Linked DNA regions of Oryza sativa Japonica Group. The protein of the gene in region 2 binds, or shares a complex with, the protein of the main gene of each other region. Links are inferred from orthologs where the notes say so. Each region holds a gene or a part of one and is shown on either strand. Other genes may lie near its edges.

Evidence for each region.
Region 1: photosynthetic NDH subunit of subcomplex B 5, chloroplastic (region 2) and photosynthetic NDH subunit of subcomplex B 4, chloroplastic share a complex: the UniProt entries of both Arabidopsis thaliana proteins name them as parts of the chloroplast NDH complex. The link is inferred for Oryza sativa Japonica Group from reciprocal best matches to the Arabidopsis thaliana genes PnsB5 and PnsB4.
Region 3: photosynthetic NDH subunit of subcomplex B 5, chloroplastic (region 2) and photosynthetic NDH subunit of lumenal location 3, chloroplastic share a complex: the UniProt entries of both Arabidopsis thaliana proteins name them as parts of the chloroplast NDH complex. The link is inferred for Oryza sativa Japonica Group from reciprocal best matches to the Arabidopsis thaliana genes PnsB5 and PnsL3.

The regions. Positions count from the first base shown.
Region 1 is NC_089036.1:31,695,732-31,699,656, reverse strand, and holds photosynthetic NDH subunit of subcomplex B 4, chloroplastic, read right to left. Parts: upstream 2,291-3,925; 5' UTR 2,185-2,290; coding exon 2,095-2,184; intron 1,991-2,094; coding exon 1,946-1,990; intron 1,852-1,945; coding exon 1,698-1,851; intron 1,604-1,697; coding exon 1,548-1,603; intron 1,459-1,547; coding exon 1,387-1,458; intron 1,240-1,386; coding exon 1,111-1,239; 3' UTR 804-1,110; downstream 1-803. UniProt on the Arabidopsis thaliana protein: NDH shuttles electrons from NAD(P)H:plastoquinone, via FMN and iron-sulfur (Fe-S) centers, to quinones in the photosynthetic chain and possibly in a chloroplast respiratory chain.
Region 2 is NC_089035.1:41,426,893-41,431,704, reverse strand, and holds photosynthetic NDH subunit of subcomplex B 5, chloroplastic, read right to left. Parts: upstream 3,270-4,812; 5' UTR 2,492-3,269; coding exon 2,210-2,491; intron 2,045-2,209; coding exon 1,990-2,044; intron 1,862-1,989; coding exon 1,793-1,861; intron 1,651-1,792; coding exon 1,592-1,650; intron 1,490-1,591; coding exon 1,253-1,489; 3' UTR 909-1,252; downstream 1-908. Other genes in the region: serine/threonine-protein kinase-like protein ACR4, read left to right, coding at 1-17, 167-281, 416-679; uncharacterized protein, read right to left, coding at 3,418-3,516, 3,699-3,809, 3,902-3,961, 4,062-4,179, 4,439-4,539, 4,617-4,688, 4,788-4,812. UniProt on the Arabidopsis thaliana protein: NDH shuttles electrons from NAD(P)H:plastoquinone, via FMN and iron-sulfur (Fe-S) centers, to quinones in the photosynthetic chain and possibly in a chloroplast respiratory chain.
Region 3 is NC_089041.1:312,059-315,528, reverse strand, and holds photosynthetic NDH subunit of lumenal location 3, chloroplastic, read right to left. Parts: upstream 1,864-3,470; 5' UTR 1,790-1,863; coding exon 1,522-1,789; intron 1,386-1,521; coding exon 985-1,385; 3' UTR 804-984; downstream 1-803. Other genes in the region: kinesin-like protein KIN-14N, read left to right, coding at 1-27, 123-227, 321-488. UniProt on the Arabidopsis thaliana protein: NDH shuttles electrons from NAD(P)H:plastoquinone, via FMN and iron-sulfur (Fe-S) centers, to quinones in the photosynthetic chain and possibly in a chloroplast respiratory chain.

The DNA.
Region 1 (3,925 bases), on a different chromosome or scaffold from region 2:
TGTGTTATCACAAAGACACCAACCAGTACACAGTAGGCGATCATACCAGTATCCTGTGTGGGATCAGCAGCTAGTCCTACTCCTTGCAGCTTTGCGCAGCGACCAGTGTACTAGCACAGTACATCGCCTGATCGTTTCAGTCTCGATCACGCCGCTGCTGCTGGCCGGTCTGTTCGCGCCGTACGCATGCCCATCTGCTGCTCCTGCAGCCCTACTCCGGCTCGCCGCGACCTCACCCGCACATGTCGGGAGCGAGCCGATCACGATCGCTTGCATCAGCCATGGCCCAGCCGATTCAAGCCTGTCGAGAGACCTGTGTCGAAATAACTATTGTTAGTCTCTGATGACTGATGAGCTGATCGACGGAATACTACGAAGTTCTGCACCCTATACAAGTAGTATATACATGTGCTACCTACTGTGGTAGTGTGGTCTGTACTGTACGTTGAGTGCAGACTGATTGCTGCTGGTTCGCGGCCTGTAGTGGAGCAGCTCAAGTATGATCAGCGGTTCTTCTTCCTCGATCGAATGGCCGTGGCCGACGATGGCGTCCAATTCCCAGCGCGCGACCACCAGCGCAAGCAGGCCGAACTAACGGAGTTTTTTGGGCCAGTCCATCACCGAGCGGCCCGGTAAAGGTAGCCCATAATCGCTACCATTCTGTACTGGACCCAAATAAAGTTGGCCCGACACCGTGAGAGCCGACAGAACGAAAGCATATTGGATCGCCACAATTTGGTTGCGATCTGACAAAACTTCCGTCTCCACAGGGCACGTATATCCACCATGGTGTAGGTCTATATCAGTCGATTTACACAATTTATATATTTTGGAAGCAATATCCACCATGGTGAACGGTACAGGTTCTTTGATTAACATGGAGTAGTACATTCCTTCTTTTAGCCTACACTACAAATGCAATATAATGCATTCATGCAGACGGAGCACCTATTTGCTTTCCTTTTGAGTCTGATGCCAACATTTACAGGCGCTATCAGGCAACTGTGTATCTTGCTATTACACAGCCGCTCTGTACGGTATTACAGAATGCAGCCGCATCGCGCCATGATCATGCAGTCATCCATCCATGCGCAATCTCTCATTCATCCATCAGTTTGTAAGCTGCTCCTCCTTGGCTGCTTCCTCGAGTTCTCTGAGCCCTCCGACCCTCTGCTCGATCTCCTCGAGTAGCTCCTCCCTCAGGAGCTCCTCTCTTGCAGACGCCTCCAGGTCCTCTTGCTGCAGAATCAACCATGGGAGAGTGGAGATCGATCAGCAAAATGACTGGTTATCTTAGTAGCTTCGCACAACTAGAGTTTGTCTAATTGTCTGAATGTTCTTTCTTCGTGATAAAGGAAAAAAAAAAAGCCGTAATGAAAGACATACCCGGTCATAGTACCAGTGCACGGTGCCGTCACCCCCTTGTCCCCTGTACGCCTCACTGTCGTAGAAAGGATCCTGTAAATTCACACAAGACCGTGTCAGTAACACATATCGAAGATGTAATTTCGTTCCAAGTTGTAGTGGCATATGTTCTGCGTGCTTGCCTTCATGGACGCAAAGAAGCAGATGCCCCAGACTGTGAAGAAGGCGTAGAAGGTATCTACGAGACAGACAGAGAAATTTTTTTGTGAAAAGTTTCAGTTTCAGACGTAACAACAAACTGCAGGAAAGGTGAAACGACGACGACGACTCACAGACGCTCTTGAGGGCGGCGTCGCTGAGATGCCAGATCGACTTGTGCACGACGTAGTCCCTCTGCAGGTCGACGTGCTCCACCATCGTCACCATCAGCGTCACCACGTCCAACGGGGACGCGTTCGCCTTCACTGAACCCCTCCCGGCCGATTTCTGCAAACGCTAAGACCGCATTACTTTGCCTCACCAATCACCACGGATTTCTTCTTTCTCGGTGAAAAAATTAAAATGCACTGGGACCTTTCACCTTGCAACGGCTGGAGTTGGACCTCGGGTCATGGAATCCACCGAGCTGCAAATTTAACAACAACATTTGAACAAGTAGGTGAAATTCGCAAGGAATTCAGGAAAGCAGTTTTTGCATGAACGCGAAGGGGAGAATGGACGGTGCGGTACCGTTGCACGGCAGCGGCCATGGAGCTGGGCTCTGTTCGCGGAGTGAAGAGCAGAGAAGTGGGGGGACGACTTGAGCAGCGGCAACGCCATTGCTGGTAGGCTGCTGCTTCAGTAGCGGGTTGGCGATGAGCTTGTTGTTGTCAGTGTAGCGGGCTCACGTTTGGCTCAGGGGTGAAACCTGTAACCTGTAATCTGTATGGAAAATTTTAGTGGATAAGGTCAGACTTTTGGGTGGCCAACCATTGTCTGATCTTGGGCAGACGAAAAGCACAAGAATTTTGGGCTTGGTTGAAGCGGGCTTGAGCGTTGCTAGGCCTTGCCCGGTCAAGGTCATGTTTGGGCCGGATGGGATTAGGTTGACCCGTGGGCTCGTGGCCCGTTACGTGCATCCGTCCGCCATTTCTTGGAGGGCGCTACGGCTTGGCGTCCGGCATCTCACCAAAAATCGGACGCCCATGCAGGCATGTGAGAACGAACCCTGTCACTGTAACGTATGTGTCTAACTGCTTCTTTTCATTCTTTTCTCCTCTCTTTAGATATTTTTTATCCTAAATTACTTATCCAATTTACGATCCGATCACACCGTTCTATTCGTTGCAATTAAATCTTTACAATGAGATATCACATGATTATATTATGTCAAAAGAAAAACATGTATTTCAAAACGTTAAAACAAAATGTTTCGTACGTGATAGTGATATGTTTCAATATGTGTCATCGGTGTGTTTCACAAAATTCATGAAACTAACTGCTACTACTCTCTCTCCTCTCTCTCCACCTCATCCATGCACACATGTATGTATTTTAGCAAGCTTCAAAATAATTTTTCTCTTAAATTACTTATCCAATTTATGATCCGATCACACCATTATATTTGTTCTAATTAAATCTTTACAATAAAATATCACATGATTTTATTTTGATAAAAGAAAAATATATGTTTCAATTCGTTAATACTTGTTGTTTCATATGTGCCAGCGACATGTTTCAACGTGTATTTTCACCATGTTTCATAAAATACTTAAATGTTTCGGTTGTTGATTTTTTTTGTTTCACCATATATAACATAATGTTTCACTTGCTGGTCAACGCTCACCCCCGCACTGCCGCGCGCATACGCATGCATGTAGGCCGCCCATGCTGCATTGTTCACGTGCCACGTTGCTTGCCTCCCCTGTATGTGTTGCTTGCGCTGCTGCTTGCATACGCTCCCTCCCTCTCCCTTCTATTATTACATGTGCCTAATTTTTTCCTCAAATTTTAAATATTTTTTTCTCCAAAATTATATATTCTGATCTAAATTTCAATGATACCATTAGATTCATCATCATTAAATCTTTATAACAAGATCTCACATGGTTATATTTTGATAAAAATATACATGTGTCTCAAAAAATAACTTGTCTCACCATTGATAGAAAACTGTTTCATCACATGTACACAAATATTACAACTCACCTCGTGAATTGTTTCAAATTTAGAGAAATACAACAATTTACTAACTGAAACAATCACAACCACTACACAAAACGTTAAATACCAATGAGTGAAACATAAAAAAAATCATATGAAAAATAAAATATTTTTGCACAAATACTTAATTATGTTGAAATATTTTTAAATCGGACGCTACAAATCGTACGTTCAATATTTTTTCAAATATCGGAGCCTACCAATCGTACGTTCAATATTTTTTTAAAGACGCTGCTCCTCGTTTGTATGCAGGGACACGTTGAAGGAGCGAGGTTGTCGCATGCATGCATGCATGCAGGAGTAGACCTGGTTGCCAAGATGACGTGAGGCATCATTACTCTGTCTCTCTTAATCAAAC
Region 2 (4,812 bases):
CCTTTCCTTGATCCCAGGTAAGTCATAAGTTTTTCTTAGAAATTATGTTCAGTGGATAGTACAGAACTATCTGCTTTAGTGCTTTGTATGTGGTTCTTGCAAAAGTACCAATTTTTTATCAGCAACTGGTGATTGAGTAGAGTGAAACTTCTTTTTTTCATGACAGAATGAGGGAATCCATAAATTTTTCCATTCAAAGTGATGTATACAGTTTTGGTGTTTTCCTTGTGGAGTTGCTCAGTGGCAAGAGGGCTCTGTCTGATCAAAACATCATTCGATGGGTAAATTCCAACACTTCCAAAGTTTGCAGCTGACACACCCAATTCCTCATTTGTTAGAGGCTTTCCCTGTTCTTGTAATAATCTGTCGACCGTTGTAAAATCCGTACTAAATTTGCAGTTTTGCTGATACGCAGGTGCAGAACTTCCAACAATCAAGTGATATCTCTGCAATTGCAGATAACAGAATGGCCAGTGCCTATACCTCAGAAGGCATGAGAGAATTTCTGCGGTTGACATCGTGGTGCGTGAACCCGACGAGCGAGCATCGCCCATCGATGAACTTGGTGGAGGCGGAGATAAACCGAATTCGCGAGCAAGAGATGAGGATGACCACAATCATGCCAGAAAGCACACCAACTGTGACTCTAGGTAGTCAGCTCTTCACAACATCAGGTTGAAGAAGAACTAGCTAGTTTCCTCTCATCATCAGAGTTATAGACTAGCAATTCCCTTTCCATTTATTATTTCTCTCTCTCTTTTCTTTGGTCTTCATAGTGATTCAGCTGTAACTCAAGTGTACAAAAAAGGAACAGCTGTGAGGTTCCCTTTATTCCTTTTCCTGTACAAGAAAAGAATGATATTTCCTTTTCTTTTACATATTGATAATATTGGAGGCTGATGCCAAAGTTATTCCATTATACTACTATATATATCTATTGAATTAGTGATGTCATTCACAGGATTTTCTCCATTACATTGGGGGGAAAACAAAATACACATGACAGAATTTTCAGTCTCCTTTTGTACCTGGCTGAGAACTTCAGAGTTGAGACTGTCAGAGACATAGAAAGCAGGCCTTACAGTAGATGAGATGATCCATACACACATCATTTCATCTCAAAGTTCTTTATTTTGAAGAGACTCATCTTGCAGCTTTGCCACCCTGCTTTTCTTTGGAGTGGTTCTGATTTTCTGAACTGTTTCTGCAGCTGCATCTAACAAATGTGACCCCCCATTTCTGAATACCATATCTAAGACGATTTCACAATCTCATCTCTTCTGTCGACGGTGAAGTCCCAGAGCTCGCCGTACTTCTCGTTGAAGTCCCAGATGTCCATGGTGTTGTAGTCGGCGATGAGCTTGTCGCGAGCCGATCTCTCCATCATGTAGATCTCCGGCTCAAAGTTGTGTGGCTTGTCCGGTTTGTCCATCTCGATAACGCAGAACACGACGACGAACACTGCTGCGCCGATGTAGAGGTACTCCCCCTAGTGGCAGAAGTAGACACATATTCAGAGAGCTCAAGAGCCAAGACAGATTGTGAAATGTGATACATGTCAGTAGGCTGGAACTACTGCTCAATATGTTACCGGAACATTGAAGGCCATGCCAAGGATGATTGCAGGAGGAAACAACCAGGAGATCAGTGCTGCAAGAGATGGCCCATCAGTGCAAATTGAGCAAGCTTGTCTTAAGAGAAGAAAGATCTGATTTTTTTTCTCTGATTTATCTGAAAGAATCTGATTTTTCTCTGATTTATCCAAGTGAGAAAGGAATTTGGCTGTTACTACCTTGGAAGCCCTGAGGAGGTTCAGCTTCTTGGTACCACTCAGAGACATCCTCCCAAAAGCCCTTCTTATCTTCAGTGTCAAATGATTTTTTTTTCCACATCATATCACATAAGAATCAGAAATTAGCACACATGAGCATGATTACGCATTTTGATTCAAGGAATGGATAACTGGATAAGATAGCCCAGAAAAAGAACCTTGGGTTTCATTATATGTGTGGTGACCATCATACACTCCATACTCGAAGTCGTCCTGCAAAGCAGATTCTTTTCAGTGTCAAAACCATTTCTTCAGACAACACAGCACAGCAGCAGCAATCACTGAAGAAAGAATCAAAGAAACCATGGAAACTGCTTGGAATAGAGAAAAATAATGAAATTCTCAACACGGTGGCCGGCGACGGCGAGGAGGACAGACCGGGCTGACGCCGTTGGTGCGCCACTTATCAATGGGGTCCTCGTTCAGGTCGGGCTCGATCTCCGTCAGTGGCCCGGGCCCCGCCCTCGCCACCACCGCCCGGCCTCTGCTCCGGCAGCAGCAGCAGCCGCCATGCTCCGTCTTTAGCTGCCTCGCTGCTACTGCTGCTGCTGCTGCTGCTCCTGTTGCTGTTGCTGCATCGTCATGACGAAGGCGAGCTTTTGCAGTGGCAGACGGTGACGCAGAAATGGCGGACACCAAGCTGCTGCTGCTGCTCATCATCTCGCTCCAAACGCTGAGCTCTGCTGCTCGCTTCTTGCTTAGCTGGTAGCTGCTGCTGCACTTATACTTTGCTGCAAGGAGACAAAAACAAGAGGATAATGGGTATGGGGCATGTACCGTCCAGGATTTTTCGCTGCTTTTTTCCTCTTTTCTTTCTTTTTCTTCATGCCTGGAAAGAAATCTGCATCACCTCATTAGTCAGTCAGTAATCAGGTCAGATATGCATGATAATCTTGTGAATGAATAGAACTAGTATTTGTTAGTACTACATTATTGCATTCTGATGAATCTGAATTGTTAGCAACAGCAAGCACAGAGCCTTGTGTTTTACACATCAGGAGAGACAAGGAAAAGACAACTGCAACATGAGGACATGATTTGTAAATGAAAAGAGCAGAAAAAGAACCAGCAACCCAGTGTCACTGTGTCGGACGTCACTGATTCAGTGGCTGAGATACAGTGCACCATCAGCAGCGCTTTTTCACTGCTTCAGTATGCTTTTTATGCGTCATACTTGGCTCTTGTGCCTTGAGTTAGCAGGCTGCTGCATTTCTTGTAGGAGTATTCATTAACTGAACAAACAAGGCAGCAGTTCATGAACCTCTTTCCACATTTTTTTTTACTGAAATCTTTCCACATTTTGTTCCAAGAAGAAACTAAATTTCTTACAACATGCATTAAACATTGCATAATACAGCAGGTCCTACAACAGAACAACAATAGCATATCTGCTCAACTTCCATCGGAGAATTATTCCGCAGCCGTCCAGGACCTATTGCCCCCCTAAACTGCAAAGAAATCAGTGTCAGGACTTCTTGGAGTATTCCAGAAACAATATAATGTCCCATCCAAAAAACCAGAAACAATCTAATGATGGAAGCCTAGAGTCCACCAAAGGATTACCTGGTTCAAATAGAATTGGATAACTAGCTTTGTCTGGCCTTCATAACCAGCTCTTCTGTAGTAGCGCCAATGATCTCATTGGCACGCTTCAGAGATAGACAGCATATTCTTCCAATAGAATCCTGCAAGCATCACTGGCTTTATTATCCATGATTAAAATAGAGAAAATGCGAGTAACAACATAATGGTATTTCATTTAAAAATTCTTTTAGATTCTATACATTCTGAAATTTATCTAAGTTTTTTTTGGGGATATATATCTCACTATGATTTGGTACTGCTGTAACAAGCTGTAAGAACTCACTCTTGTAATGATGCCAAGCCTCTCTAACTTCTGAACAGCATCCATCACCTCAAAATTGCATTGCAAGCCAAACTCTTCTTGGATTAACTCTTCACATTGTAAGTCAAGATCCTAGCATTGAGTGCCAAGAATATTCAACTCAATTTTTATACTTGCACAACTTCAGAAACAAAACATGCTTGTTTCAAATACCAAAGCAATACCTCAATAGTCGCCTTTCCATTTTCCATCAAAATATAGTAGGAAATTATAATCTCCTTGACCTGGACATCAGAATTCAGAAACCACAAAGATGAAAATAATTGTGAGCACAAGTCTCTGATATGCTTATTCTGAATCAAGTACTACAATATGGAGACCTACTTCCTGCTGAATCACATCATCACAGAGATGGAGAAGTGTGCCTTTCCCACTATCTAGCTGTTTGTCATACATTGATTGAGTTATTAGGTTTTGATATGTTGCCATGTTCTGTTGAAACCTGAATCAAAGGTAGCTTATTTACCAAATTTGTCCAATACAACCAATACAGCAAATAAAGTATCATCATAAATAAGAAAATGCTGAAGGAATCAGGGAAGCAAAACTGCATTTTATGGAGGTATTCTAAAGTAATTCTGGCTGGATGAGTAAACAAAAATCCTCCCTGTCCCTGCTCTATTATATACACAATGCAGATTACCGACAAGATGACAAGACGAATACCCAATCAAAACAAATATATCAACCAAGGCACTCACGATAAATAGATCTTGGCACAATATCCAGCCAGGGCAGAAAGGACGGCAACTACAACCCAGAAATCAGCTTTAGGCATTTCGAGCGAACTGACAAGTGTAACCTGAGCAATGTGAAAAAAATAATCATCAGGTGATGAATCACAACCCAATCAAGTGCAACCAGTTCCAGTCCACTTACAAGTCCAATGACAACAGAAACAATAAACTGAACCCAGTCCATTGGTGTGAGGCTTGGATTTTTCTTCTCAGGCTGCAACAGTCATAATTTCTCTTCAGCATAAGTCCAATTGAAGAAAGCAATATGGATGTCACCACATTATTCTTTGGCATATTAAGCTTCTACACTTACCAAAACCAGCTCCATATCTGCCATT
Region 3 (3,470 bases), on a different chromosome or scaffold from region 2:
ACCGGAGATAGGCTAAAGGAGACACAGGTAATTTGCTATTTCACACCTCAGTTTTTGTTGCATCTAAGGTGTGTACATGGTACAATGCGTAACCACTGTTATGATATAAATTTGCTATTTAGGCTATTAATAAGAGCCTCTCATGCTTGAGCGATGTAATCTTCTCCATTGCAAAGAAAGAGGAGCACGTTCCGTTCAGGAACTCAAAATTAACGTACTTGCTACAGGTAAATTCTAAGCACTCAGCTAAGAATATCTGCAAACTTGTTCTAGTTTCCGTGGCTATAATGTGTGAATGATTTTGTTCCCCTTGGACACAGCCATGCCTTGGAGGAGACTCGAAGACACTTATGTTTGTGAATCTGTCTCCAGAGGTGTCGTCTACAGGGGAGTCAATTTGCTCGCTACGGTTCGCAGCACGGGTGAACTCGTGCGAGATTGGCATCCCTCGTCGTCAAACCCAAGTGCGTAGCTTGGCGCAAGGATGAGTTGGCTTGGACAAAATGAATGTCCATGACTAATTGTATTTGTGTGTTGTTTGAGGGATGCAATGGATCATTTGCATCCCCTCCGTGTGTTGGTTGCTTAGAGGGTGTGTATAATATTCTGATTTGGCATGTGGCTTTGTTGATTGTACGAGCATCGCATTGCATTACATTACAGATAGTACTGTAGTATCTAATTTGTGGCTGCATCAATGTGCAGTGGTAGTAACAAGATGTGAGGTTGGTTGTATTTTATTGGAGAAGTGCCCTGTGTTGTGTTGGGCTGGCTTTGTTTGGATGATAAAGACAGACAAGTAATTGGAATTGAAATGCTCTGTTGCTTTTTAGTACTTACTGAGTATGAAGTTATATTGCATAGCGTAGATGTGAATATGAATATGTGTGTGATGAGGAGGATATATATATATATATATATATATGTATGTATGACAAGTAAAGTGAGAGAAATACAGTACTAGCTAGTACACCAACAGAAACACTAGGCCATCTTTGCCATGACCTCCTGGAGGATGATCTTGGTGTCGGCATAGGAGGAGCCGATCTGGGTGTCGTCCTTGGTGCCGCAGGCCTTCTGGAGGCGCTCGAAGCTGTCGAAGAGGCGGGTGGCGAGGTCGAGCAGCGGGGGGCGCTGGTCGTCGGAGGCGGCGGAGATGAGCTTGTCGAAGTCGAAGTACATGAAGGTGGACTTGAGGCGGAGGTACTTGGTGACGTAGTTGGCCCTGTCGGCGTTGTTGCCCAGCAGGTCCTCCAGCGCCAGCAGGTCGAACGCCGTGCTCCGCAGCCTGTACGCGTGCGCCGCGTAGCTCGGCCCGATGTCGGCTATGTAGATGCCGTTCCTCACGAACGTCCGGCTCCCCGTCTCGCCATTGTTCAGCTCCTCTGCACACACAATATATATATATATATATATATATATATATATATATATATATATATATATATATATATATATATATATTGCAATCACTATATTTATATATTTTGTGTGTGTAATGGTAATTAATTTACTACTCACTGTTGACAATCTTTGGCACCGGCAAAGGGAACTCGGTGAGCCACCACCCATTGTTTGCCGGCTCGTCGTCGGTGGCGGCGCAGGCGGGATGATGCTGGAAGATGGTGGCGGCGGCGGCTGCGAGGCCGACGGAGAGGCAGGCTGATCTCCGTCCGCCAGTGGAGCACGCCGCCACGAGGAGGAGCAGCCTCCGTGGTGTTGGCCGGAGGAGGCGGCTGGTGCTGGCAGTGGCGGCGGTGAGGCCTGCTGATTGGAGATAAGTGGCCATCGAGGATGTGTGTCAGTGTAGCAAGGGAATGAATGGATAGCGCGCGATGCCACGAGAGGATGAGGAAAACCTTCGCCTTTGCAAAAGTGCACCACATAGATATTTCTCTCGGTTTGATGGGGCTGCCTCTCCTAGGGGCCGACAGAATGGCTGCATGAAGGAATTAGTCTAACTTGCCTCCCTCCTCTCTCGCTCTTGATTGAATCGTCTCTCTTAACCGCTAAACCTGGTATAATGCCTCCACCATCTTCTTATTCTGCAGGAGGTGATTCAGTGATTTTGAGTTAGTTTGTTTCGTTTTCCACGCACACACTTCCCGAATACTAAACGGTGTGTTTGTAAAAATTTTCTATACGAAAGTTGCTTTAAAAAATCATATTAATCAATTTTTTAAGTTTAAAATAGTTTATACTCAATTAATCATGTGCTAATGTCTCACCTCGTTTTGTGTATCTTCTCAATCTTCTCTCTTCCTCCTCTCAATCTGGTGCAAACCAAGGCATTTACATGTGGTTAGGGGTGGACAGAAAGCTTGTGGTTCGTTAGCTCACTCGGCTCGTGACAGGCTCGACTTGGCTTGTCTCGTTTGAATTTCCTAACGAGCCGAGCTGGCATCTTAGCTCGTTAGAGATAACGAGCCAGCTCGAGCTGCTCGCGAGCCTTAACGAGCTATGGGGTTACCAGGCCAAGTCAGGTCCACAGCTAACAGCACACATACATTATGGCCCATTGGCCCAATAGACTCATCAAAAAAAACCCTAGTTCACCTCAGCCTGAGACCCTGACTCCCTGTCCACCACCGTCTCGCACATATCGCATTCGCATCGCATCAGCGGCTTGGGCGCTCGGTGCATCTCGGCATCCGCATCTCGGCCATCGCCATCGGCGCTGCGCCACGCCGCCGTGTGAGCGCCATCGCCACCGCGCCAAGCCGCCGCCGCCAACCCCCATCGAGCGCCTGCCGCCGCCGCTCTCCGCCTCTCCCCCAGTGCCCGCCGTCGAGCTCGCCTCCTCCTCGTGGTCCAACCGTGAACTGTCCAAGTGTCGGCGGAGCTGTGAAGGTTGAGTTCATCCCCTCCACCATCGAGCTCCTCTCTGTAGTCGCCGTCGAGCTCAAGCTCGAGCTCGTTTTCTCCGCCGTCAAGCTCCTCCCCTCCTCCCCTAGTTGCAGACTTGAAGTGCAGGCGAGGTTGAGCTGCTTCCTATGCTCGCCGGCTATGTCTCTTGCCCCTAGCTCGTGAGCTTAACGAGCTAGCTCGAGCTTGTTGATGAGCCGAGCCGAGTCAACTCGATATCTATCCCTACATGTGATTCCATTTGTACACGTCAACAAGTTTGACCATGGTTAACTACCCCGTGAGTAGAAACTTTGCAACAATAGAAGAAATCGATTTGTAACTGTTTCGAATTTGGAGGATGCGATTCAGCACAACGCAATAGTGGAAGGAGGCAAAATAGACTTAAGCTATGTTCGATGCCCATTTTACGCGCACGCTTTTTCAAACTGCTAAATGGCGTGTTTTTTTAATATAAAAAGTTTCTATATGAAAGTTGCTTAAAAAATCAAATTAATCTTTTTTAAAAAAATTAGCTAATACTTAATTAATTACGCGCTAATACTGTACCACGGCGAACACAGCCTTAATCCCTGGAAGAATCGTCCACTACTATTAGCTAGTAG